7 linked regions of the Sus scrofa genome follow. The protein of the gene in region 5 purifies or fractionates together with the protein of the main gene of each other region. This does not show direct contact. Links are inferred from orthologs where the notes say so. Each region holds a gene or a part of one and is shown on either strand. Other genes may lie near its edges.

What was found.
Region 1: the proteins of PPP1CA (region 5) and PFDN6 purify together in Homo sapiens (affinity purification with mass spectrometry; 3 studies listed by BioGRID and IntAct, with this or other methods). This does not show direct contact. The link is inferred for Sus scrofa from reciprocal best matches to the Homo sapiens genes PPP1CA and PFDN6.
Region 2: the proteins of PPP1CA (region 5) and ERBIN purify together in Homo sapiens (affinity purification with mass spectrometry; 3 studies listed by BioGRID and IntAct, counting the BioPlex papers as one, with this or other methods). This does not show direct contact. The link is inferred for Sus scrofa from reciprocal best matches to the Homo sapiens genes PPP1CA and ERBIN.
Region 3: the proteins of PPP1CA (region 5) and KIF18A purify together in Homo sapiens (affinity purification with mass spectrometry; 3 studies listed by BioGRID and IntAct, counting the BioPlex papers as one, with this or other methods). This does not show direct contact. The link is inferred for Sus scrofa from reciprocal best matches to the Homo sapiens genes PPP1CA and KIF18A.
Region 4: the proteins of PPP1CA (region 5) and YLPM1 purify together in Homo sapiens (affinity purification with mass spectrometry; 3 studies listed by BioGRID and IntAct, counting the BioPlex papers as one, with this or other methods). This does not show direct contact. The link is inferred for Sus scrofa from reciprocal best matches to the Homo sapiens genes PPP1CA and YLPM1.
Region 6: the proteins of PPP1CA (region 5) and WDR92 purify together in Homo sapiens (affinity purification with mass spectrometry; 6 studies listed by BioGRID and IntAct, counting the BioPlex papers as one, with this or other methods). This does not show direct contact. The link is inferred for Sus scrofa from reciprocal best matches to the Homo sapiens genes PPP1CA and DNAAF10.
Region 7: the proteins of PPP1CA (region 5) and CCDC85C purify together in Homo sapiens (affinity purification with mass spectrometry; 4 studies listed by BioGRID and IntAct, counting the BioPlex papers as one, with this or other methods). This does not show direct contact. The link is inferred for Sus scrofa from reciprocal best matches to the Homo sapiens genes PPP1CA and CCDC85C.

What each region holds. Positions count from the first base shown.
Region 1 is NC_010449.5:29,652,399-29,655,445, reverse strand, and holds PFDN6 (prefoldin subunit 6), read right to left. Parts: upstream 1,755-3,047; intron 1,748-1,754; exon of another isoform or gene 1,605-1,747; coding exon of another isoform or gene 1,523-1,604; coding exon 1,459-1,522; intron 1,263-1,458; coding exon 1,192-1,262; intron 1,110-1,191; coding exon 985-1,109; intron 732-984; coding exon 602-731; 3' UTR 501-601; downstream 1-500. Other genes in the region: WDR46 (WD repeat-containing protein 46), read left to right, coding at 2,066-2,266, 2,362-2,577, 2,687-2,767, 2,898-3,010. UniProt on the Homo sapiens protein: Binds specifically to cytosolic chaperonin (c-CPN) and transfers target proteins to it. Binds to nascent polypeptide chain and promotes folding in an environment in which there are many competing pathways for nonnative proteins.
Region 2 is NC_010458.4:44,414,602-44,418,788, forward strand, and holds the start of ERBIN (erbin), read left to right. Parts: upstream 1-1,387; 5' UTR 1,388-1,525; intron 1,526-4,187. UniProt on the Homo sapiens protein: Acts as an adapter for the receptor ERBB2, in epithelia. By binding the unphosphorylated 'Tyr-1248' of receptor ERBB2, it may contribute to stabilize this unphosphorylated state.
Region 3 is NC_010444.4:32,261,073-32,264,572, forward strand, and holds part of KIF18A (kinesin-like protein KIF18A), read left to right. Parts: intron 1-91; coding exon 92-196; intron 197-614; coding exon 615-725; intron 726-1,784; coding exon 1,785-1,982; intron 1,983-3,500.
Region 4 is NC_010449.5:98,017,629-98,021,128, reverse strand, and holds part of YLPM1 (YLP motif-containing protein 1), read right to left. Parts: coding exon 3,420-3,500; intron 3,311-3,419; coding exon 3,218-3,310; intron 2,989-3,217; coding exon 2,793-2,988; intron 2,310-2,792; coding exon 2,191-2,309; intron 1,296-2,190; coding exon 1,141-1,295; intron 1-1,140. UniProt on the Homo sapiens protein: Plays a role in the reduction of telomerase activity during differentiation of embryonic stem cells by binding to the core promoter of TERT and controlling its down-regulation.
Region 5 is NC_010444.4:5,118,888-5,123,001, reverse strand, and holds the start of PPP1CA (serine/threonine-protein phosphatase PP1-alpha catalytic subunit), read right to left. Parts: upstream 2,801-4,114; 5' UTR 2,766-2,800; coding exon 2,711-2,765; intron 2,215-2,710; coding exon 2,083-2,214; intron 1,952-2,082; coding exon 1,721-1,951; intron 1,123-1,720; coding exon 1,018-1,122; intron 627-1,017; coding exon 403-626; intron 321-402; coding exon 186-320; intron 103-185; coding exon 1-102. UniProt on the Homo sapiens protein: Protein phosphatase that associates with over 200 regulatory proteins to form highly specific holoenzymes which dephosphorylate hundreds of biological targets.
Region 6 is NC_010445.4:74,091,633-74,095,132, reverse strand, and holds part of WDR92 (WD repeat-containing protein 92), read right to left. Parts: intron 1,906-3,500; coding exon 1,805-1,905; intron 1-1,804. UniProt on the Homo sapiens protein: Key assembly factor specifically required for the stability of axonemal dynein heavy chains in cytoplasm.
Region 7 is NC_010449.5:120,517,409-120,520,908, reverse strand, and holds part of CCDC85C (coiled-coil domain-containing protein 85C), read left to right. Parts: intron 1-1,799; coding exon 1,800-1,895; intron 1,896-2,659; coding exon 2,660-2,758; intron 2,759-3,443; coding exon 3,444-3,500. UniProt on the Homo sapiens protein: May play a role in cell-cell adhesion and epithelium development through its interaction with proteins of the beta-catenin family. May play an important role in cortical development, especially in the maintenance of radial glia.

The sequences.
Region 1 (3,047 bases), on a different chromosome or scaffold from region 5:
TTGAGGACAAAGAAACGGAAGAACAACATTGTGGACAACGTATAAACATGGAGGACGTATGATATCAGAGCGTTAGGTGTTGAGATTTTAAATCAGTTTAAGCTACATTCAAGCAAATTCTAAGAAAAAAAGACTAAAACGAATTAGAGGGATGCCAGGGCTATTTTGAAGATGATGGGAAATCAGCAGGGAGGGTCCCCATGTTTCATTCTGGGGTCACAGCTTAGAAAATTCTGAGTTCAATTAAACTCACTTTACCCAAAACCACTGCATTGCAAATGCCCTTCTCATGTTTCCAACCAGGATAATGGAGACCTAAGGGCTGCATATACAGGAAAAATGAGATTTGAGATATTTCATATTTCAGTCTCAATAAAGAAGGCTTACTCGGCCTCAGAGTGCCCAGTTGCAAGAGTCTGGACCTGAGGGAGTCACAGAAGCGATAAACATATAAGGGGAGAAGGGACCAGGGGAAAAGGTGGAGATGATTACAACAGAAGTGGCTGGTGAGAAAACAGCCAGGTGTTTTCACATTTTATTCACTACAGTAGAGACCCTTGAGCTGCCTCATTCCCACCCCCTCCCTCCCCCCTCCACAGGGTCAGGCCTTCCCAGGAGCCCCTGCCTTGGCTGCCTGGGCCCGCTGGAACTCCTGCTGCAGCTGAGCCAGGGTCTCCCTCTGTTGCTCTGACTGGCGCTCCAGTTCCCGGAGTTGGGATTCGTATCGCTTACTGAGGAAGACAGAACACCAAAAACGGTGAGGTCTTAATGAGACTTACTGCTGAGGATGCTGAAGGCAGGAAGGAGATTGGTGGGGAACGTGAGATCCAAGGGAGGGAGGAGAAGAGGGGTTAAAAGGAAAGCGGCTGGAGGAACTGGGTGGTGGTGGTGGTGGGAACAGCTCTGGAAGCTACTCTACAAGGCTTTCTCAACACGTCTTCCACCGTGGCATGTCTGTCAGAAGGTGCTGGAACAAAGACTCACATTTCAGCTGTGATGTAGTCCAGCCTTTTCCCCACTGTGGCTCGAGCCTCTCCCAGCTCCTGTTTGACCAGCACGGGACCCAGAAGTTTAAAGACCACGTTGGATCCATCCAGCAGGGCCAGTTCCTGATGGAGGGGCAGGACATCTGTGATCAGAAACATTGCCAGGACAAGTTCCCTCCTCGCCCCACAAATCCTGTGCTCTCACCTCCTTCACGATATTATTTTCTGTTAGTTGTGCTTCTAGTTTCTGCCTCCCTGACATGGACTTACTCAAGTCTGGCGGGTGGGAGGGAAGACTTGATTAAAGACATCAGATATGCCACCCAATCCCTACCGTCCTGGTGAGAAATGGAGCGACAAGGACGGGAACACCATGGAGGTGGGGAAGGGGCACGGGTGGGATGGAGAGGGGCAGGACGCATCTTGTAAGGCTTCGGGTAGTGAGAGAACCGGGACAACCCCGTTCCCCTACCCTTCTGTAGCTGTTGATATTTCTCCACTTCTCCCTGTAGCTTCTTCTGGATCAGCTCAGCCATGGCGAGGACGAAACTCCGCGGGAAGAGGGAGAGGGGCGCTGGGTTGCACACTCTGGAAGGTACCCGAGCTCCCCTTTCCGGCCTGCGGAAATGACAGCCCTCTTGAGAAGCAGCCCCTCGGGGCACCGCAGTCTCCCCCCGTCCGAGATATCGACTCCACCCCTGCTCTAGGCGGCAGCGGGGGAAAAGAGACCCCAGAGCCCTCAACCGAACGCCTGCTCTATCTACTCACGTTCTTCTTTCAGTGTTGGTGAACCCGGAAGTAAACAGAGAATGCTGGGAAGAGACGGCGCCGGAAGCTCTCGTCTGACGCATGCCGGGAACTGTAGTTCTCACTTGTTAGACGAGTGGCGTTTTTCTAAAAGGCTGGACTCGGAACGTTCTAGGCAACATGCGGAAACGAAGCTGGAAAAAGGAACTGCACAGTCAACTTGAGTCCTGGCTCCGGACCACCTCTCTTTCATTACTCAAGCATAAACTGCCTCACGGGGGCGGGGCCAAGGTCTGCCCCCCACCTCACTGGAGAGAGCGCCCTCACCCAAGATGGCGCCTCGAGGGCTTCGAACCTGGGGCGGAGCTGATTGGATGAGGGCCGGAAGACTTCCGGGAGTTTTCAATCCGACTGTGGGACAGCTGAGAGGAGTTTGCACGTGTGTCGCGGTTCGGGTGGGCTTGATGGAGACAGCCCCCAAGCCTGGCAGTGATGTCCCGCCCAAGAAGGACAGACTTCAGGCCAAGAGAAAGGTAGAGACCTCCTTGGGTTGAAAGGAAAGTTTTTGGCTGAGGGGTTGGAGGGGCGGGGAGGAGGCAGCGGAATATCAGGGGTCCTGATCTGCCAGCAGAAACCTCGGCGATACTGGGAGGAAGAGACCGCTCCGACAGCTGCCGGAGCCTCTCCGGGTCCCCCTCGTAAACAGAAGAAGAATCGAGAGGCCCGCCCTCAGAAGCCAAAGAACGCTCCCATCCAAAAGAAGTCTCGGTTCCCCAAGAAGCCCCAGGTCCCAAAGAAATCCCAAGAATGGAGGAGTCCAGGCCCTCAGCGGAGCTTGTCTGGGGTGAGCCTGGGACCTTATACGGTGGCGAGGCAAGTCTCCTCGTGCTTTGAGGGTACGAGAGTTGGGATCAACCCGAGCCTGTTTACTAATTGCCCCATTCCTGTCCCAGGCCCAGGACCCGTTTGCAGGCCCCGCCCCTGTCCCTGTGGAGGTAGTTCGAAAGTTCCGTCGCATCGACAAATCCAAAAAGGTGAGAACCGGTCGGAGAGTGGGGAGGAGTTGCAGGCAGGGAGTGTCTGGGTGAGCTGGATGGAGGCGCGGTCAGGTGGCTCTCCTGTAACCCCCATACTCGCCCATTCCTCTCCCACCAATGATTGTAGCTGCCCCGTTCCAAGTCCAAAGCCCAAAGCCGGCTTGATGCTGCTGAAGCTGAGGAAGAGGAAATAAGCGTCAAAGCTGCTCGTTCTGAGCTGCTGCTGGCTGAGGAACCTGGGTAAGTGGACCGTAATGTGGGCCTCCCCAGCTCCTGG
Region 2 (4,187 bases), on a different chromosome or scaffold from region 5:
CAGCTCACGGCAACGCCGGATCGTTAACCCACTGAGCAAGGCAGGGACCGAACCCGCAACCTCATGGTTCCTAGTCGGATTCGTTAACCACTGCGCCACGACGGAAACTCCAAGGACTCTCTTCTTCCAGGCTGGGCGCAGGGCAGCCGGGATCGACTTCGCCCGCATCCCCACCTTGGGCGGCTGGGGAGCAGCACGCAGGCCTCCCGGGCCTGGGCCAGAGCTGGCCTCACGCCGGACCTAGCTCGCGAACCCCCGGCCGCCGGCCCCGCCTCCCGGGCCCCCAAGACTATCACCCCCCGCTGCCGCCGCCGCCCCCCGCCGCCACCGACGTCGGCCCGCACCGCCCCCGCGCGCGGTGACTGGCTCGCGCCGGCCTCCAGCCCGGCTGTTGGAGGTTGGGGCGAAGCGGGCGGGAGGCCGCCCCGCCCCCGCCGCGGAGCCGCCGCCGCGCGCAGCCTCTTCCCCCCTCGCCGCCGGGGCGGTGGCGCTGTTGCCTCCGCGGCCTGTGAGGCAGTAACTCCCCTCCGCCCCAGCCCCCTTCCTCCTCCTTTCTCTCCGCTCCCTCCCTCCCCTCCCCTCCCCTCCCCTCCCCGCCCCTCGCAGTCTCTCGCTCGAGTGAATGTGGCGCGGCGGCGCGGGACGCAGTCTCGGCCCCTGCCGCGGCCCCGCGAGCTTGTGAGGAGACGAAGCCGCCGCCTGCCCCCACCCCCTGCGCTTCCCGGGGGAGCCACCGCCGCCAGGGAAGAAGAACGAGGAGGGGAGCGAGGGGACGGTGGCGGGAAAACAGGAGGGGGAGGAGAAGAGGGCTCGAGGGCAGGGAAGGAAGGCGGGGAGGGACGTACGGAAGGACGGACAGCCCGACGGCCGGCCGGGGGAGGGGGCCGCCATCGAGCCTGCCCGGCCCCTCGGCTCGGGCTCCGGGCGGCCGCGGCTGCGGCCGCGCGGGCGAAGGGCGCGGCAGGCGCTACCGAGACAATAACCCCGCCGCCCGGCTCCGGGGGTGGCGGCGAGGAGGCGGCGGCGGCCTAGCGCGGCAGAGGCTCTCCCAGCGCCCCGGTGGCATCTTTGCCCCCGCGGGCCAGGTTCGCCTGCCGTCGGATATCGGGGCGCGCGGGTCGCCCGGAGTCCCAGGCTCTCGGCTGACGCCCCCTGCCCTCCCCCGCCCGACGCGCGTGGAGCTGGTTTTCCGGGTTCCCCTGGACCGAGCTGGATCCTGCTGCTCGCCAAGGCAGGAAGTGAGTTTCGCACGGTAATTCCGGGCGGTGTCACGAGTGAAAAGTTTTTTTTTCGACGGAGATCCTAGTTGGGGCTGGGAAACTCCTGCAAAACTCGAGACCAGGAAGCCAGCCCGCTTCCCAACCCCCACCGGAGCCACCTACTCTTCCTACTGCGGGAGGCCACTCCACATCCGCTCTCACCGGAGAGAGAAATTCGGCTGGATCCGAAGTGACTAATGAAGGGGAGGAAATCATGTCAGGCGAAGCCTTGAAAAAGCTGTCCTGAGACACTGCCCGACCGAAAGGTAATTTTCACCCAAAGTGTCTGCGAGTCACAAAGCTCCCCGGCCAGGAAAGAGAGGAAACTTTAGTGTTTTCCACTTTTTCTCAAGTTGCCCTAAATTCTCCCTCTCTCCTGTCGGACGGGGTAGTGATTTAGGTGCAAAGCAGTAGAACTGATTTTATTCTCCTTTCTACCATCTGGACCCTGGTCATTTTAGAAGAGGTTGTAAGAATGCGGTGGGACGAAAAGTTTTAAGCAATTCCGAGGAAAGAATGCCTTTGTTCAGCAGAAGGTCCAGAAATCTTAGTTTCCCGGAACATATACAATGTATGTTTTTGATTTATTAAGTTGCTGAACCTGACAACTTTTGTTTTGGATGAAAGTTAGGTCACTGCGGCGAGCAATCGGCTGCTGTTGAGATGGCTGCCACAGTATTTGTTTATACTGTTACCGATTATTTTGCTTTTGCATTTAAATGTATATGGAGTTATTTAGTTCCAACTCTTATGACTGTGTTTCATTGGGTTTTATAAACAAAAAACTCTTTGCCGTTCTTAGTCGTTTTTTCAGGTGGGTAATATATATGTCTTCAGTAACTTGTTCTTTTCGGACATTTATAACTTTATAATACTTGTTTGGTGTTGTCTACAAGCTACTGTCTACAAGATTTTTCTTGTAACTGACCTAGTAGGGAGAAAAAGTGTTACGGCTAAAGAGTGATGATTAAAAAGCAAACATGAATGCCTGTAAGTGGTTTGATTTGTTAGGACTTCTGTGCAATTCGGAACTGAATGTATAGGAAAGGAAGTAAAACGCTTAAAACAGTGTTCATGGGCATCACAGTGATTGTGATAAATAGCTGTGCTTTTTGGTTAGCACATTATTTACATTTTTTTGTTGTTGTTGGCCCAAATGTTTTGACCGGGTCTGCCACCTAATAAGTGATGAGTATCTGCTGTGGGGGCAGGGATTAAGTGAAGCACGGTGACATTCCACCAGTCAGTTATAAATATAAACACTTCTGAACCAGTCGGTAGTCTTTATAGATCAAACTAGTTTTGGTTGCTGCAGACACAGACGGTTTCTTCTGTGGTGTTTTTAATGAGTGTCTTTTTAAGTTTGGTTCCCCCCCCCCCGTGCTTTTTTGGTAAAGGGAGGTAAAAGATAAACTCTGCTCTTGAATAAATGTCAAATAAACGTGGTATTTTGTTTGTAGATATATCTTAAATGTAAATTAATATTTATTTGCCCTTGCCACCACAAGAAAAATGGTTGGCTTTCTTTAGTTCCAAAAAGAGACAAGGTAGGTTTTAAACAGTAGGTTCAAATAATTTCACAACTTTTTCTTTGTTACTTCAAATTAAGTATGTTTCAAAAAGGGGGTCTTTTAACTATTACTATATATTGTTTTGATTTTTTTTTTTCTTGGAGCTTAGTCTCTGGAGCTCCTTTTTAAAAACAATTTTGTAGTTTTTTAAATTGTTGGTAAGATTTTGTGAACCATCAAGTAATTCCTATTAAGTGAAAGTAGCTTTATCAAATAATTTAAAGTATGTAAGTGATCTACTTTATGATTTTAGAACTTAAAATTAGGCAACGAAAGAGGTTATTCTTGGGCATCTGAAAGAGGGGAACAAAATAAATGGCATTGAACTTCGGTTTCCTTATATGGTTTATACTTGGCTTCAGAGCAACAAAGCCTTAATAGAGCAAGTCTTTTATAGAGAATTATCACTTTGCGAAAGTGTTCCTTTCTCTGTGTTAGGAAATTTTACTTGAAAGAAGTATTATAGTCCTCAAAAATACCTATTTAAATGCCTGTTGTTAGATATAGCTCTTGATTTTTTTTCTTGAGGGAGCATAGTATGTATAGATGCAGACAACATGTTTTAAAAGATGTTCACCTTTGTAGTTGTCTTTGATTCCTTTTTCCCCTCAACAAGGCAAAATTTACTTTGAGGTTTATTTATTTTATTAGTTTAGCACTGGATTAACTTAATGAATTTTAGGTTTTATACTGTTGTCAAACTGTAAATATTTTTCAAAGTTTTGTTTAAAATTTGACAGTGGTTTGAAAATAAGTTTAAAAAATGGTCATAAAAATATTTTAAAATGGCTTCAAATTTTGGATATTTTTCTTAGTATTCTGTGGGTTTTTTAGATTAAATTCACAAATCTGGAGTACTTCCAAGGTGTTTGTAGAAAATGCGCACTTGATGGCCCTGTTTGTTAAAGGTACTGGGAGTTTTCAAAAGTGATAAACTTAATCTTTCAACTAATTAATTCAGATATTATGAAGTTTCCCTACTGTTTGTGAACAAATTATTGCCAACTTTTCATGTATAAAAAGCTTACAGAGGTTCCAATATGGGAACCAATTTTTTATTGCTTGTTTTTTCTTCATGAAGCAATAACTACAGTTAGAGACATTTGATGTGTATCATTGGTAAATGTCTAAAACTCAGGTATTTTAGAGATTTTGGTAGTGAGCTCATGGCAGTAAACAGTACCTCACTTTAAGAGACAAGAATTTCAGAAAATTAAGTGCATATTTATGCATTTATTTTAAATTATTGCCTGTAGATAAATATGGTAGTGATTATGAAGTATTTGGGATTCTGTAGGTTTTAGTGATGTTAGATAGGAAAGTATTTTTTTTTTTTTTTTTTTGTAATTTCTAGTTG
Region 3 (3,500 bases), about 27 Mb from region 5:
TAAAATTCTGATATAACCTTTAATCAGCAATGTGTGCATGTGTGTGTGTGCCTATCACTGTTGTTTCAACATTAGTTCTTTTTATTTCAAGGTCTATAATGAACAGATTCGTGACCTCTTAGTAAATTCAGGGCCACTTGCTGTCCGGGAAGATGCCCAAAAAGGGGTAGTCGTTCAAGGGTTGACTTTACATCAGGTATGTTTATAAACTTCTTTTTTGCTGTTCAGATAGCAAGTTATTTAGCCATTTAGATATTTTAAAATAAGCGTAGAATTAAAATAATCAGGGCATATCTTCAGTCTTATTTTCCTTTGAAATAGTTGAATGGGCTTTTCTTTTTAAAATCCACTTGAACATTTAATATAGTATATTATTCTATTTAATATATTTACAGTTTATCTCCTCAGAGAGATTAATCTTTTGTTTTTCATATAGCACCAAAGTACTAAGCAAATGATACACAGTCAATACTTAATGGAATTTAATTATAAGAAGTATTTTCTTACCCTTTATTTTATCCTTAAAAGGCTTCTTATTTGTTGATAATTTATTTAAAAATTTAAAGATCAATAGCTCATTTATTTATTTTTCTTTTACTTTAAAACTTCTTTAGCCTAAATCCTCAGAGGAAATTTTGCAGTTGTTGGATAATGGAAACAGAAACAGGACACAGCATCCCACTGATATGAATGCTACATCTTCTCGTTCTCATGCTGTTTTCCAGGTAACAGGTCACTAGACTATCACTCTTAAAATTGAATTTAAAATAAATGAAGCCATATGTTCGGATGATAATTTTCACAAATACAAAACAAAATCTCTTTATCTGTCAACTTTATTTCTCAGCACTTCCTTTACTTTGCAGCTTTGAGAACATTGTATCAAGAATATTTAGAAATGAGATTTTTGTAAGTCAGAAATGTAAAATTTTGCCATTGTGAAAGTAAAAGATAGTAAAGTGATTGTTAGAGGTTTTCTTTTCTATTTTTTAAAGTATCTTTCCAAAAGATAATCTTATATTCAGAACAAACTTTCTCTTTATAGATCTAGATTTATAGACAGTAAATTGAGGTGGGGGGGGATACTGATGCACTTTTTAAAGAAATTTCACCATGGTGACCATGTAAATAGTTGGATTCCTTAAGGAAATATGTGATTCAGTGATAAAGTGCTTTTTAGGAATACAGTTCTAGAAAAGGCTAAAGCATAGGTTAGTAGTTATTATTTATAGTTCCTGGTTCTGTTGAAATACAATTGATAATACAGCTTTATTCTGGATTATGCTATGTGAAACTCATAGCAAGAAATTGTTATAGTTTAAGGAATTGAAATCTGAGGCAATAAGTCATTCAGAAAATTTTCCCATAAAATTTTATTAATCAGTCCCACAGAATTTTATTAATCTTTTCTATTCTTACCACTGACTATTTATCAGTAATTTTGAGAAAAATGCTTATCTGGAACACAGAGATTTCCCCAAAATGTCGTAGACCCTACAGTATAAGAGTTACTAGAATGTAAGTGGCCGTCATTTTGACCAGAGCCAGGAGTTATTCGCCCTCTTATACACCTACAGGAATCCTTTTCATTTTCAAATTTTTCTCAACTTTGGTAATTACTTCTGGTACTCTTAGATATTAGCCAGTCAGGTTATACCTTGTTCAGTTTGTCTTTAAATGAAAATAATTGGTTTCCTGCTTTTTAAAAAATAAAGTGTATGTTTCCCTTTTAATTTTGTGAAATCTAATCCTTATTTTCCCTAATCTTCCATAATTTCAAAAAGATTTATTTGAGACAACAAGATAAAACAGCAAGTATCAATCAAAATGTCCGAATTGCCAAGATGTCGCTCATTGATCTAGCAGGGTCTGAGAGAGCCAGTTCTACTAGTGCTAAAGGGACCCGGTTTATAGAAGGCACGAATATTAATCGATCACTTTTAGCTCTTGGGAATGTTATCAATGCCTTAGCAGATACAAAGGTAGGTAATATATGTTTATTTGTTTAAATATTTTGAAATATTGAAATACGTATAATTCCTAGACAGATATTATGTAAGATAATTTTGTTTTAAATGTCTTTTACAAGAGTTCCTGCTGTGACACAGTGGGTTAAGAATGAGTGCGTCAGCTTGGGTAACTGCTGAGACATGGGTTCAATCCCCAGCCCACCACAGTGGGTTAAAGATCTGATGGTGCCGCAGCTGCAGTGTAAGTCACAGCTGGGGCTTGGATTCAGTCCCTGGCCCAGGAACCTCCATATGCCATGGGTGCAGCCATAGAATTTTTTTTTTCTTTTGTCTTTTTTAGGGCCTCTGGATCCAAGCAGCATCTGCGACCTACACCACAGATCACTGCAACGCCGGATCCTTAACCCACTGAGAAAGGCCAGGGATTGAACCTGCATCCTCATGGATACTAGTTGGGTTCATGCCACTGTGCCATGATGGGAACTCCTAGAATTTTTTTTTTTAAAGGTCTCTTACAAATCAGATTTTAAGAATATAGCAATAATGTTTATATACAGAGCATTGACCTCAGAGAGCCTAGTATATAAATAAAGCTATGGAGTTTTTATGTTTGTTTTATTTTAACTTCTAGTTTTAGGATCAGAATTTATTGAATGAAAAGTATTGAATACCATATTGTTAATATTTTATGGTACTTTCTCACCTTTTATTTTGAATTTGATTTTTAAATGACCATTTAATGATCACTATACAGCAAACATGATGAATTGGTATGAAAACAAAAAACACATTTTAGAAAAATTTAATTCTGGTCTGGTTAGTATTTTATATACATATTATAAAATTAAATATTAAAGAGTGTTGATTTTTCTTAGGAAGACAAGTTTAAGATATAAAATGTAATTAAATCACGTAATAAGATAATGTTTGCTAGATGCCTTTGGGGCATTTAAAAATATTTTACTTCTGGCATGGCAGAAACAAATCCAACTAGGAACCATGAGGTTGTGGGTTTGATCCCTAGCCTCGCTCAGTAGGTTAAGGATCTGGCATTGCCGTGAGCTGTGGTGTAGGTCACAGACGCAGCTCAGATCCTGCGTTGGTATGGCTATGGCATAGGCCAGCAGCCATAGCTCTGACTGGACCTGTAGCCTGGGACCCTCCAGATGCCGAGGGTGTGGCCCTAAAAAGCAAAAAAATTTACTTCTACTATATGCCAGTTTGCTTACTAGAATATAGCATATTTGAAAACTCCTGTGTTTATAAAAATGACTTCCTTTTTTAAAAGTTAAAATATGATCATTTAATTTATGTTCAAACCAGACTCAAAAACTTTAGGAAAATTACTGTTAAATTCTTTAAAATGCTGCATTTGGGTTTAGTATGAAGTATGTTAAAATTTTTTGGAAAGTCTTTCTTAAAAGGGAAATTGCTGAAATCACATGAAGATTACAAAAGCAAAATGTATTTTGTATTCTAAGTTAAAATCTGAAACATGTAAACAGACAGCATGGCATAGAGACAGATTTC
Region 4 (3,500 bases), on a different chromosome or scaffold from region 5:
GAACAATTCAAGAATGAAATTAAGCTATCTATATCAATGATAAGATGGGAGTGGATGAAACAATCCAATTCAAAAGTAGAAATTATCAGACTGTATTAAAAATATGATCCTACCATACGCTGTCTATAGGAGACATACTTTATTATTATTTTAAAAAATCTTTTTTTGGCTGTGCCCATGGCATGGAGAAGTTCCCCGGCCAAGGACCAAACCCACACCACAGCGGCAACCTGAGCCACAGCAGTGACAATGCCCGCTGAGCCGTCAAGGAACTCCAGAAAACATACTTTTGATTTAAAGACACAAATAGATTGAAAGCAAAAGGACAGGAGTTCCCGTCATGGCTCAGTGGTTAACGAATCCGACTAGGAACCATTAGGTTGCAGGTTCAATCCCTGGCCTTGTTCAGTGGGTTAAGGATCCGGTGTTGCCATGAGCTGTGGTTTAGGTCTCAGACATGGCTTGGATCTGGTATTGCTGTGGCTATGGCACAGGCTAGTTGCTACAGCTCTGATCAGATCCCTAGCCTGGGAACCTCCATATGCCACAGGAGTAGCCCAAGAAAAGGCAAAAAGACAAAAAAAAAAAAAAAAAAAAGAAAGTAAAAGGACAGAAAAAGATACATGAGCCATCACAGAAAGCTAGAGGAGCTACTAATCTAACAGTGACATTATATACATACAGTCAAAACATCTGATAGAAATCTCCAGTACTAGTTCATTTAAATGGAATCTAGTTATTTGCAATATAAGCTAAATTTAAAATATACATTTGGAGATCACTAGGAAAAATAAGTCTAAACTTATCAGATCCCCTAGTTCTGACTCTTTCACTTTCACATACCATAAAACCAAATCCTCTTTTCCCCTTTTCAAAGTTTAATTAATCGAGTTGCTAATGAATTATTTTCTGAAGTTTTCAACATTCTTTTTTTTTGTCAAGCAATTAAGCTCTAATTTCTTAGATTCTATAGGGAAGGCAGTATGTGAGATTTTATGATGACTTGGAGATGGTAAAATGCCTTGAATCTGATATTACTATTATGTCACAGAAAAGTATAGAAATTCTGTTTAGGATATTAAAACAATTCCTTATCAGCTTCTGATTTGCAAGTAAACGAGTCAACTACACAGGACTCACTCTCTCAGGTCTGCTCTCTCGGCCAGGTGGTTTCAAAATATCATCTACATTCTTAGATTCAGGTTTCTTCTCAACCCGTGGAGCTGGAGGTGGCTGGTGGCTTAGTGAAGGAGCTGGCAGGGGCATTCGCTCCTCTGGGTAAGTTCTTCGTTCTCCTGGGATTCCAGCAGTTGAACAATTACTATTTATGTAGTAACTATTTAAAATTTTAACCCATTCTACTCCTCCTAATATAATTTATGATGATTTGAGGGCTACTTTTATCCTTAATTAAAGATAGTTTAAGATAACATAAATCTACTGAAATCAAGAAAATGAAAAGATTTAGGTATGATTTCACACAAAAAGAATATTCTGAAAAGTATTGAATTCATCCTCATTTGTATTAAAAGTTAAGAAAAAAAGTTAAACAATAGAATATAGAAAAATGATATATCCTCTTAAATAGTCCCAAGTATGATTCAGAGTCCACCTGTATGTAACTTCTGCTTTACAGTTTTGAGAATGAGTCACCAGCTTAGGAAAGCTTGTTCATATAGACAGGTATAAATATATAGTTTAAGTGTAATTTATAGCAATGAAAAACTAAAAGCGACCTCAACAAAAAAAAGTCTTTTATCTTATCCACTTGATGGACTATCATAGTCATTAATATAATAGGTTTCCATATGGAGAAAAGTAATAGTACAATACCAATAGGGAACAGGGATGATAAAGAAACTATACTTTGGTTATAACTTCATTAATATGTATGTGAAGAGAGAATGACAGGAAATATACAAAATTATAATAATTGTGGTATGGTAGCTATGTAGTAGGTTTATAAGTGATTTTGTTTCTATCTTCCAAAAGGTCTTTAATAATATTTAAAAAAGCAGTTTATGTTTTATTTCATCAATTACATGGCTATTTTTGGTGATAATGTTGCCAACTCTGAGAAATCTTTAAGTGCATTTTACTCTGAAAGTTTAAATCCACAGGCAAAATGGAAAGTATCTCCTGTTGTTCACAGTTTTCAGCATCCTTATAGTTAACAAGGCACCAATCTACCTCCAAACATGGACGGTCCTTCATAGGCTGGTCGGTCAGACTTCCGATCATAGGATGGCCTATCAAATCCCCCTCTTCTGGATGAGGAATGTTCTTTTTTGTCTCGATACGACTGAGTCCTAGAAGGTTTAACAGAAGTGCTTTGGTTAATAAAAAATACACGGATATCTCTTATAATGCAATAGCATTACCTGTCCAGTTTTCTCTACATGTAGTTACTATACATAGTCAATATTTACATTTTTATTTTTCTTTCCCGTTTAGATCTGCCTTTCATATACAAATCCAAAAAGCTCACACAACTGCAAAAATAAATTGTCTACTAATTAAGCAATGACTACAACTTTATGCTGACAATACTCTTTCCTTTCCTTTCTGGCTATCTCCATCTCCCATTTAATTCTCTGGATTTCAAGCTCACAAAACTCAAGTTTTCTAGTTTCCTGAAAATTAGTATAGAACTACTCTTCCCTCTCCAAATTATACACACACGTATAAAAAGAATCTATCATTTACTAAATTCCCTGCAGATACACTGACTTTTGCTGAACTGTAGTACATGGTAATTTGCACACCCAGCAAAGGTATTTTTCATAGCATACCTATCATCTCGCGGTCGGCGTTCTCTGTCAAATCGATCCCGGTCATAGTCAATAACACCACGATCCCGGTCTCGATCTCTATGTGTCTCCCGATCCCTTTTGAAATCCCGATGATCTGTCATGACATTACTTTGACGATCAAAATAAGGCTCACGATCTCTGTCTCTATCATAGCGATCACGTTGGCCCGCATGCTCTATAAAAACGATTAGTATAAAATAAGAACTATATAGCTTTTTTTCTGAAATAAAAGCAGAAAAGTACAAATCTAAATTTAGAACTAGTATAAACTGCTGCCCTAAATCCAATTTATGAATCTTGCAGCTATACTAAAGGGAGGCGCAGACAATACTACCAAAAGGAAAAGTCATATGACAATTAGGCCCTAATAGGTTTAGAAATACTGATCTCTTTGGGACTCTAACCTGTTTCAAAAGTTGATCTTTCAGGTAGTGGCTCTGGACGCAGAGTTATTCTTTCTCCATAGGGTATCTGCTCAACTTTATTAGTGGATATGTCTGATAAAATCAGGGATAAAACACTGTTAACAGTAACGCTTAAGGAAGCCAAAGCTTAAGCTAACAATTCCTTTAGAATCCCAGATAGAAATCTGCCACCTTGACTCACCTCGGCCATGGCCATAATCAACAGTCTGCTGCACTGGTGGTGGTTTGGACATTGGTGGCATACCCATAGGCATCGGGCCAG
Region 5 (4,114 bases):
GGCTTTGGCGGAGTTGCGGGGTGGGGTGATGGGCCGGCCTCCAGGATTCAGGCCACTGAACTGCCCATATTTCCCCTTGTTCTTGTCGGCGGGCTTGAGGATCTACAAGAAACAAGCCAGTCAGGTTCATGGGGCCAGGCCAAAGGCCCCCGGCCCCTTCCGGCCCCTTCCGGCCCCCTGCCCACCTGGAAGGAGCACATGAGCGTCTCGTCCACGCTCATCATGGCGCCTGCGTTGTCAAACTCGCCGCAGTAGTTAGGAGCTGAGAAGAGTGTCACCAGCTGCCTCTTGGCAAAGAACTCGTAGCCATCTTCTACCACCTGGGTGAGGGTGGGGGCAGTTAGTTCAGCAGGTGCCGGCTGCCCCGCCCCAGCCCAGCCCAGCCCAGCGCCGCCAGCCCACCTGGTGTGCCCGGCAGATGAGATCCAAGTCGTGCTTGTGCAGGAACTTGGCCACCACCTCCGCTCCAAAGGTAAAGGAGACGCCGCGGTCATTCTCGCCCCAGCCCTGCACGTCCTTGTCGGGGTCAGACCACAGCAGGTCACACAGTAAGCCCTGGTCAGGCACGTCTGTGGGCCGCATGATACGCCGAATCTGCTCCATGGACTGCAGGTCGGGGGACAGGCCTGGGGAGCACAGGAGGTAGATCACTTCCTTGAGCCTCAAAACGAGGCCCCTGCCTCCTCCGGGAAGCCTTGCCGATCAGCCTCTGTCCCCACCCCTCCGTGGTCTCCTGGGAGCCATGACAGGCAGACCTCGCCACCTTCTGCCTCTCGTAGCCCCTGTTTCTTCAAGGAGCACAGGGCTCCTTGGAGAAAGGAGACAAACTCCACGTGTGAAGCTGTGGCCACGACCTGACAGCACAGCCTGACATGAGGGTGCGGGGGGACTTCATGGAAGAAACGACTCGGGGGAGAACTGTTGCAGCTGATGCCTTTGTCCCCAAGCCCCCCGGGATGGGGCCAGGCTCGTCCCTCCCAAGCACTCCTCCAGCGCGGGCCCCAGAGCTGCTCTCACCTCCGTGGCAGCAAAAGATCTTCTCGTCCACAATGGCAGCGATAGGCAGGCAGTTGAAGCAGTCAGTGAAGGTTTTCCACAGCTTGATGTTGTAGCGTCTCTTGCCTGCCCAGAGGAAGGAGGTGGCTCGTGAGAAGGCCTGGCTGCCCCACCTTCAGCCGGGGTCCCTGGGCCTTGCAGGGCACATCATGTGCTGTTCAGACACAGCTGGGAGGGAAGCAGAGAGGGCAAGGAAGGGAAACCCATCCCACTGCCTACCAGCTTTCCAGGAACCCCAGCATTCCAGTTCTGGAACAACCTCAGGGTTGGCACCCACCTGCAGCACATGAGCAGGGCCAGGCCAAGACCAGGTCTGTTTATCTCTGCTTCTGGCAAACAGAGTCCAGTCCAGACAGGCAGCCTAAGTGCTTAAGTAACGGATGCGCTGGAGGGGAGTGTCACTGGGCAAGGCCCTTATTAGAATACGGGCAGCCCTGCAGCCAGCACCCATTCACCAGATCCCTCCTGAGTGCCAGGACCCATGCCAGGAGGGCAGGTGGAGAGACCTGAACTGGCCTGGCCCGGCCCTGCCTTCACGGAGCTCAGTCTAGCAGGTATTTGTCAGACACTGATACCCCAGCTGCCAGGCCAACTCGAGGGTCCCTCTGAATGGCCAGGAGAGCCCTTTAGGACCCGGGCAGCCCCAGACACCCATGGCACTTACACTCATCGTAGAAGCCATAGATGCGGTTGATGCTGGCACACTCGTGGTTCCCACGGAGCAGGAAGAAGTTCTCCGGGTACTTGATCTTATAGGCCAGCAGCAGGCAGATGGTCTCCAAAGACTGCTTGCCCCGGTCCACGTAGTCCCCCAGGAACAGGTAGTTGCTCTCTGGAGGGAAGCCGCCGTACTCGAACAGCCGCAGAAGGTCATAGTACTGGCCGTGGATGTCACCTGGGACCCAGGGAACCAGGTCAGGTCTAGGTTCAGTCTAAACCTGAACCCAGGGATAAGGCTGGGATCCAGGGACTTTAGAGGGGCCAAAACCACTTCCAGGAAGCAAAGGGGCTGGGCAGGGGGCTCACCGCAGATCTTGAGGGGTGCCTCCAGCTCCAGAAGGATGGGCTGGCTCAGGAAAATCTCCCGGGATTTGAGGCACAGACCACGGATCTCGTTCTCTGTCAGCTGTACATTCTTTCCAGGCCGCGAGCCCTGCACTGAGGGTGGAAGGAGCGTCAGGACCCTGGTCCCTGAGACTAGGAGAGGGTGGGTGACACACAGGCCCTCATGAGCACTTCTGGGGCGCCTGGGCCCCTCCTTGCCCAGAGGCAGCTGTTGCTGCTGAGCCTCCTGGGACCGGACCCCAACTACCCTCAAGGCACTTGGGAGGGGACTGCTGTGCGCAGGGGCCCTACCACCCAAAGCCTGATAGCGCAGGACCCCTTCCCGGGTGGCTAGGCTTCTCGGGTTTCTCCCTCACCCCAAGAGCCCAGGCCGACCCATGCGCCCCGGCCCTGTTCCAGCGCGGGGAACAACCCCAGACCTCCAGGCGCGCCGCGATTTGGCGGGGAGAGCCACGGCCACGGGACCTCGCGGCCCGTCCCCGCCCAGTCTAAGCTGGCCCTGGGAGGGGCAGGTCCACCCGCGCGCCACTTCCGGGCCGGGAAGGGGGCCAGGGCGCGGCGGGCGCCCACCTCCCCCGCCCCGGCCAACCTTCCAGCAGGCGCCCGATGATAGAGTCCAGGTTGAGCTTCTCGCTGTCGGACATGGCGGCGCCGCCGCTCTGGCCCAGCAGCTCCGGGCCCGCTCCTGCCTCCCACCCTCCCGCTGCCTCCTTCCGGCCTGGCTCTCCTTCCGCCCGGCCCGGCCCGGCCCGCCCCGGCCCGCCGCCCCGCCTCCTCGGCCGCCCGCTCCGCCCCTCGTCGCCCCGCCCCGCCCCGCCCCGTCCGCTGCCCCAGCGCTCTAGCGCCTCCGCCGGACGCCGGGCGCAGAGGCCCAAGCGGCCCGGGGGGCGGGGCCTCAGTCACGGGGCGGGACTCGGACGGAACGCCCATCTCTGGGGCGGAGCCTCTTGGTGGGCGGGGCTTCGAGGGGCGAGGTCGAGTCTAGTTCTGCCTATGAGAAGTTGGCCACCCCTTTCCAGAGAATATGGGACAGGAAGTGCTGTGGAAGTTGTTTTTCTCTTTTAAGGGCTACGCAGTCCTTCTCACCTCCGCCCTGGGCGGGAAGTTGGTGTGAGCTCATCGGTAACTCATTGGGTCTCCCCAAATACTGCCGATCAAGTCCTTGAAGTGCACAGAGATAGCAAAGGGTTGGTCCAAGACCTGGACCTAATTCAAGGGCCTCTACCTCCGGAGTCTCTGTGGCCCCCAGGTGACTGACCAGACCTAGAAACCTGTCACTAAACTCCAAGCCCATTTTGGTCCACAGTGCCTGTGATGCAAGCTGAATTAGCGGTTAATTTTTTTTTTCTTTCTCAGCTGCACGTGGAAGTTCCTGGGCCAGGGACTGAATCCAGGCTGGAGCTGCGACCTATGCCACAGATGCAGCAATGCTGAACCAGCGCCTCTACAGAGACAAGCCATACCACTAATCCGCTGCACCACAGAAAGAACTCCTATCTATGTATTTATTTATTTATTGTCTTTTTGTCCTTTTTAGGACCACACCCACGGCATATGGAGGTTCCCAGGCCAGGAGTCCAATCAGAGCTACAGCTGCCAGCCTACACCACAGCCATAGCAACACCAGATCCTTAACCCACTGAGCGAGGCCAGGGATCAAACCTGAAACTCCATGGTTCCTAGTCCGATTCGTTTCCACTGTACCACGATGGGGAACTCCCTGTTTTTTTTTTTTTTTTTTTATGTTTTATCATTGCCTTTTGAGTAGCATAATTAAGCTACATTGTGCGCATGTGAAAAATGTTATTTCGTGAAGAGCAAACATTCAATAAACCGTAATTCTCAGAGTTCCCATTGTGGCGCAGCGGAAATGAATCCAACTAGGAATCATGAGGTTGCGGGTTTGATCCCTGGCTTTGCTCAGTGGGTTAAGGATCCGGCGCTGCCGTGAGCGGTGGTGTTGGTCACAGACACAGCTCAGATCTGGCGTTGC
Region 6 (3,500 bases), on a different chromosome or scaffold from region 5:
TTTTCATGTGAGCTTATGACTTACCAATGAAAGTAAGACAGTAATACCTGCACTATCCTAGGAAGCTCTATTAGCAAGAGAGTCAATAGTTATATCTGCTGCATATTCTTGTGCTAAAATATATTTATTTTAAAAAATAACACCCAGGGAGTTCCCGTTGTGGTGCAGTGGTTAGCGAATTCCAACTAGGAACCATGAGGTTGTGGGTTCAGTCCCTGCCCTTGCTCAGTGGGTTGAGGATCCGGAGTTGCCGTGGGCTGTAGTGTGGGTTGCGGAGGTGGCTCGGATCCCACCTTGCTGTGGCTCTGGGGTAGGCCGGCAGCTACAGCTTCGATTCAACCTCTGACCTCTGGGGTAGGCCGGCAGCTACAGCTTCGATTCGACCTCTGACCTGGGAACCTCCATGTGCTGCGGGAGCGGCCCCAGAAAAGCCAAAAAACCAAAATAAATAAATAAATAAATAAATAACACCCAGGAGTTCCACTGTGGTTCAGCGGAGTTAAGAATCCAGCATCCCTGCAGTGGCCTGGGTCACTGCTGTGGTGCGAGTTTGATCCCTGGTCCAGGAACTGCCACATGCCACGGGCACACCCAAAAACAAAACAAAACAAACCAAACCACTCAGACTGCTCTCTCTCCCAAGTTCTTTGAAAGTATATGACCAAACAGGTAAAAACGAATGCATCCTAATAAATGCTAACTTAACTTTTAAGTAGTTAAAGCATAGGGAAGGAAAATCGTTCCATTCTTGTTATACTATGACTTTAAGACAGATAAATATGTCAAAGTAGTTTAATTACAAAGTAATAGATTCTAAGTTAGAATCAAGAAAGGTCACAATAGAAAACATAAGGTAGGGAAGATAGTTCTTCCAAAAAATTACTGCATACTTTAAATGATTTAAGAGATTTTCTTCAAAAGTAATGAGAGGAATTTCAGTTCATTCAACTCATTTAAAAATGAGGAAATAACTCTATGTAAAACATGAAAATTAAAAGCAACTGGCACAATTGTGATTTTGCTCATTCAAAACAGGTTTATCTTGATTTACTCAACAGATGTGTTCCTAAAAAGCTGTGCTCAGATGTTAGCTAAAACATAAAAAAAAGGAAAAAAAATTTAATGAATTGGAGGAAAAAATTAAAACATACAAAAATACAGTGTATCATTCTGTAATGCCAAATATCATCTTAAAATGTAAACAATATCTAATTTTTCAGTGTTACATTTGAGCTTTTTTAGCTTCTTTTTTTTTTTTTTTTTTTTGCCTTTTTTAGGGCCGCACCCACGGCATATGGAGGTTCCCAGGCCAGGGGTCAAATCAGAGCTGCAGCTGCCACTTACACCATAGCTCACGACAACACCGGATCCTTAACCCACTGAGTGAGGCCAGGGATCGAACCTGTGTCCTCATGGTTCCTAGTCAGATTCATTTCTGCTGTGCCATGATGGGAACTCCCATGTGAGCATTTTTATATACTGCATCCTTCATGCTGAAGAGGAATAGCCCTTTATTTACAAATATGGGTATTAAATGCTAGCATTAAATAGCATGGATGGAAATAAATACTAATAACATCATTTGAAATATCTAAAGATAAATATGCTAGTGTCTTAAAATGGATTTTAAACATGAAATCTAAAAATAGATATTGAAAAGTAATTGTCATTCTTATAAACAGTTAAAGTTTAAAATCTGGTAAATTTGAAACATTTTAAAATTAGAATTCTTTCAGAGGAAGAATAACTAGACTATCAAAGAAATTGCTTATCTCATGTCTCAACACTGATGAAATAATCTTACCATATATGAAGGTTTCCAGCAAAATCCCCAGTAGCTAAATATCTCTGCTGTAAAGATGTTGCACCAAATGTTCCACATTTAATGGGTTTGGCCTTTTCAATCTTGAGAGAAGAGAGGGAGAGAGGATACATTATTTATGTAAGCAGCTATTTATAATCCATGATATTTATGGCTCTATTACAGGAATTAAATAGGCACACAATAAAAAAGGCAATTAAAACATTGTCTGATAAAAATTATCATGCTTTTCCTTTAGTCACTTTTATACAATTTAAAAGTTCAGGCAGGGGAGTTCCTGTCATGGCACAGTGGTTAACGAATCCGACTAGGAACCATGAGGTTGTGGGTTCAATCCCTGGCCTTGCTCAGTGGGTTAAGGATCCCACGTTGCTGTGAGCTGTGGTGTAGGTGGCAGACTCGGCTCGGATCCCGAGTTGCTGCAGCCCTAACATAGGCCAGAGGCTACAGCTCCGATTAGACCCCTAGCCTGGGAACCTCCATATGCCGAGGGAGCGGCCCTAGAAAAGGCAAAATAAATATATAAAATAATATAAAAGTTCAGGCACCTTGGAGATACTGCAAGTTGGGTTTCAGACCACCACAAGGAAGCAAACTGCAATAAAGTAAGTCACAGGAAGTCTTTAGTTTCTCAGTGCATGTAACAGTTATGTTTACACTATACTGTAGTCTGTTAAGCATGCAACAACATTACATCTGAAAAAAAAAAATACGTACCTTAATTAAAAAAACACTGTACGGCTAAACAATGCTAACCATTATCTGAACCTTCAGCAAGTCATAATATCTTTGCTGGTGGAGGGTCTTGCCTTGATGTTAATGGCTGCTGACTGATCAGGGCAGTGGTTGCTAAAGGCTTGGGTGGCTGCAGCAATTTTCTTAAAGTAAGGCAATAGTGAAGTTTGCTATTTTGACTGACTCTCACACAGGCAGCATTTTACCCACATTAGAACTTCTTTCGAAATTGGAGGCAGTCCTCCCTAGCCCTGTTTTATCAACTAAATTTATGTAATATTCTATCTAAATCCTTCACTGTCATTTCATCAATCCCACAGCATCTTCACCAGGAGTAGATTCTATCTCAAGAAACCACTTTCTTTTTTTGTTTTTACAGCTGCTCCTGTGGCATATATAAGTTTCCAGGCAAGAGGTCTAATCGGAGCTGCAGCTGTGGCCTACACCACAGCTACGGCAATATCAAATATTTAATACACTGAGCGAGGCCAGGAATCGAACCCACATTCTCACAGGGACAATGCTGGGTTCTTAACCTGCTGGGCTACAATGGGAACTCCCAGAACCACTTTCTTATTAATGTTCTATCATGAGATGTCAGCAATTCCGTCACATCTTTAGGCTCCAATTCTAATTCTAGCTCTCTTGTTATTTCCACAACTGTAGTTACTTCCCCCACTAAAGTCCTGAACCTCTCAAACTCATTCATGAGGGTTAGAAGTAACTTCTTCCGAACTCCTGTTTATGTTGATATTTTGACCTCCTTCCATGAATCATGAATGTTCTTAACAGCATCTAGAATCCTTTCCAGAAGGTTTTCAATTGACTTTGTCCAGATCCATCAGAGGAATCACTACCTATGGCAGCTACAGCCTTATAAGATGTATTGCTTAAAAGTTGAAATTACTCCTTGCTCCATGGGCTGCAGAATGGATGCTATGTT
Region 7 (3,500 bases), on a different chromosome or scaffold from region 5:
TCATGGTTCCTAGTCGGATTCGTAAACCACTGTGCCACGACGGGAACTCCCAGCGCCCTTCTTTACTAGCTGGTTGGCCTTGGGCGAGTTGCGCAGTGTCCCCGTCCTCATCTGTAAAATGGGCCCATAGAGAGATGGCGTCCGCGCCTAGGGTCGTAACCTGCCCCCTTAGGCCGCTCTTCTCCTGGCGGGTGCTTTGCAGGCTGTGCTCTGCCACCCCCACCACGGGATGCCTGCAGGGCTGAGCTGGGTTTGGAAAAGGCCCTAAGGGTACAGTCTTGGCCAGTGTCCAGTGGTGGCTTCCCTTATAGGGTCCTGAGACCACGCTCATTTGCTCCGTCCACCCAGTGAGGCCGGCCAGCAAACGGTTGCACCATCTACCCCGGCCACGTGCAGTTCCTGCCTGCCTTTGCTGCAGGAATCAGCCCTCCTTACAGAGCAGGCGGTGCTGGGAGCGCCGGGTGCAGACAGGACCTGAGGCCAGAGGTGCCTGGGCCAGCCGCCTTCCTGGGCTCTGTGTGTGTGGATGTCGCCCCCTGCTGGCCTGTGCGGGGAGGGCAGCCTTCTGCCATAGGGCGCACACCTGTATGTGGCCTGACCCCCCAGAACCCAGTTTGGTTCCCCGACATGACACACCGGCCTGGGCACCAGAGATCAGGTGGCCTGGGCCAGAGTCAGGAAGACAGCAGCCCAGGTCTCTGTGCACACCCGGGACACAGGGACCTGAGGGGCGGAGTGGACCGGGCCTGCCCCCAGAGCCTTGCCCAAGCCAGCTCTCCCGGACCCCAGGGCTGCAGGCCTCTGTGTGGAGCCAGAGCAGGCTGAGCCTGCGAGGGCCCAGGAGCAGGGCCAGGGCACCCTGGCTGGTGAGAAGAGTGCAGAGGTTGGCCGCTGGCAGCAAAAGATGCCAGGCACCGAGGGTCCCTGTGCAGGGTGGCCCAGCTGGGCAGGCTCCCAGGGCAGTGGCCTCATTGGCCTGATCACTGGAGGGGCCTTCAGGGCCCACTGACTGAGAAGGAAACTGAGACTCAGGGCTGCAAAGGGGCCCAAGGATGCTCCCCCTGCTCATGTACCCCCTGGGCCGCTCCTGGTGTTTTCTCTCCGCTTCCAGCACCACCGGCTGGTTGCCCTCAGGCCACTCCTGGCATCTCGCGTCCTGCTGGCCCCGGGGCTCCATCTAGCTCCTCAGGCGTGAGCTCTTTCATGTGGCCTTGGTCCCTTCTTGACCTTGCTCAGGGGCCGGTTCCGCTGCAGCCCCAGCCGAAAGCCCTGCCTCCTGCCCTGTGGCCACCTGGGCCAGTGCCCCTTGGGGAGGAGCTGGGTGGACACTTGGCCTCTGACACAGGTGGCAGGGAGCCAGGAAGCTGGATCCCTTCCTCTCCCGGCCCCCGTCTCCTGGCCCCCAGGCTGATGTGGGAGCCGGGCACCTAGTTGCCAGTTAGACTGCAGGATGAGGCAGCAGTCCCCAGACAGGGAGGCTCAGGGCCGGAAGCCCCAGGAATGCCCGGGGTGGAGCCTAGGGGACGGGGAGGGGGCTTAGGAGTCAGGCCCAGGCCGTCTGTATCATCCTAGGTGAGCTGCAGAGGAGGTGACAGACCTTCCAAGCAGGTGAGAGACCTTCCACGTGTGCCAGGCTGTGCAGAGGAGCCTGCGGGATGGGGTGCTGCCCCTCGGCCCCCATGGTCTCTGGCCTGGGCCCCGGCCCCACGGACCCAAGGATCCCTCCCAGCTGCTGGTCGCACCTGTGGCTGCCACCTGGGAGCCAGCCAGGGTGAGCTAAGACATGGTTCTGCCCACAGGGCCCCGCCTGCCCTGTTCCCGAGCTGTCCTCGCCGCCCTCCGCCGGCTACAGCGCCGCAGGACAGAAGCCCGAGGCTGTGGTGCACGCGATGAAGGTGAGGGCCAGGCCCTGCCCGGTTCCCGCTCCCTCCGGGGCCCCCAGGTCCCTGGCACTTCAGGACCCTGTGACCTAGGACCCCGCTTGCCCTCTCTGCAGGCAGCTGGGGGACTTTGGTCCAGTGGCCGTGGCTGCCTGGAGTGTGGGGTGGGGGTTGGGAGGCGGGGTGGTGGCTGCGTCACCCCTGCAGCCAGGGAGCTGAGGCCTGGGGCAGGTGGGGAGGACAGGTGCTCCTGGAGTGGGGGTGGGGCAGGATGGCCGGGATGGAAGCTCGGGTCTCCCAGGCCCAGCTCTCCCTGCCCCCCTCCTGCTCAGGGCCTTGGGGTGCACCCTGGGGCCTGTCCACTGAGGTGCCCCCATCCCTACCCCCCTAGCAGGGACACAGGCACGTGGTTCCCCGCAGGCAGCCCGCTCGCTGTGCCTGGCAGGTGGCAACTGGACACCCCCCCCCCATGTGCATGTGCCAGCCTGTCCTGAGTCCCAAGTGGGGTCCCGGGTTTGGAGTGCAACAGCGGTCCCCACCCCGCCTGTCCACCTGCTCTGCCCCCAGTGCCAATGTGGGCCGCCGCTTCCCTTGCGTGGTGTCTACGGTGTCACTGGGCCGAGGCGACAGGACAACCGGGCCCTCAGGCCTCTCCAGCCCCCGATCCCAGGGCCCCGCGGCTAGGCGTCCACCACTGCCCCTTGTGGTGGGGGAAGCTGGGGCCTTGCCCGAGGCCTGCCTGTGACCTCTGCCCCTGACCCTGGGGCCGCCCCCTGCAGGTCCTGGAGGTACATGAGAACCTGGACCGGCAGCTCCAGGACAGCTGCGAGGAGGACCTGAGCGAGAAGGAGAAGGCCATTGTCCGCGAGATGTGCAACGTGAGGCGCCTCCTGGGGCCGGGGCCGGGGTGACCGGGCGAGTCCCAGTGTGGCCACAACCCCCCTGGGAGGTGACCCGGGGGGCTGGGAGCCCGGGCCTCGCTCCTCCCCTCCCCCACTTCCCCTCCCCCCTTTCCTCCCTGCTCCCTGGTCTTGTTTGCCCTGTGTATCCTGACCCTTGGTCCCTGTCCCCTGTGCTCTGCTGGCTCCTGGCACACAGGTGGTGCCCAGACTGCGGTGCAGGCGGAACCCTCAGCTCTGCGGGACCCTCCTGGCCGTGGCTGCCTTGGCCTTTGGCAGCTGGGCTGCCTCTGGGTCTCTGGGGAGGTGGCGCCTGGATCTGGGACCCACCTGGCCAGTGCGCCTTGCCTCGTGGGACCCTTGTGGGAGTCAGCAGGGGAGGTGGTTCACGGGGCTGCCCCCTGGGGCGGGGTATCCCCCCGCTGCTGCCTCCTGGGTCTGTAGGGCCCACTGGACAGCTTCGGGCCCAAGTCTGCACCCTCGAGGTGCCAGCTCAGTCGCCTTGGGGTGGGAGGCACGGTGCGGAGGGCGCACGTGCAAAGACCCGGTCTGAGGGTCTCCAGGTGTCATGTGGCCTCAGTGTCCCCTCCTGGCCCCTGGCTCTGGGGACACCCTGGGCGGGTGCAGGGTGGACCCTCCATTCCCAGCTTGCCCCTCCCCACAGGTGGTCTGGAGAAAACTGGGGGATGCCGCCAGCTCCAAGCCCTCCATCCGGCAGCAC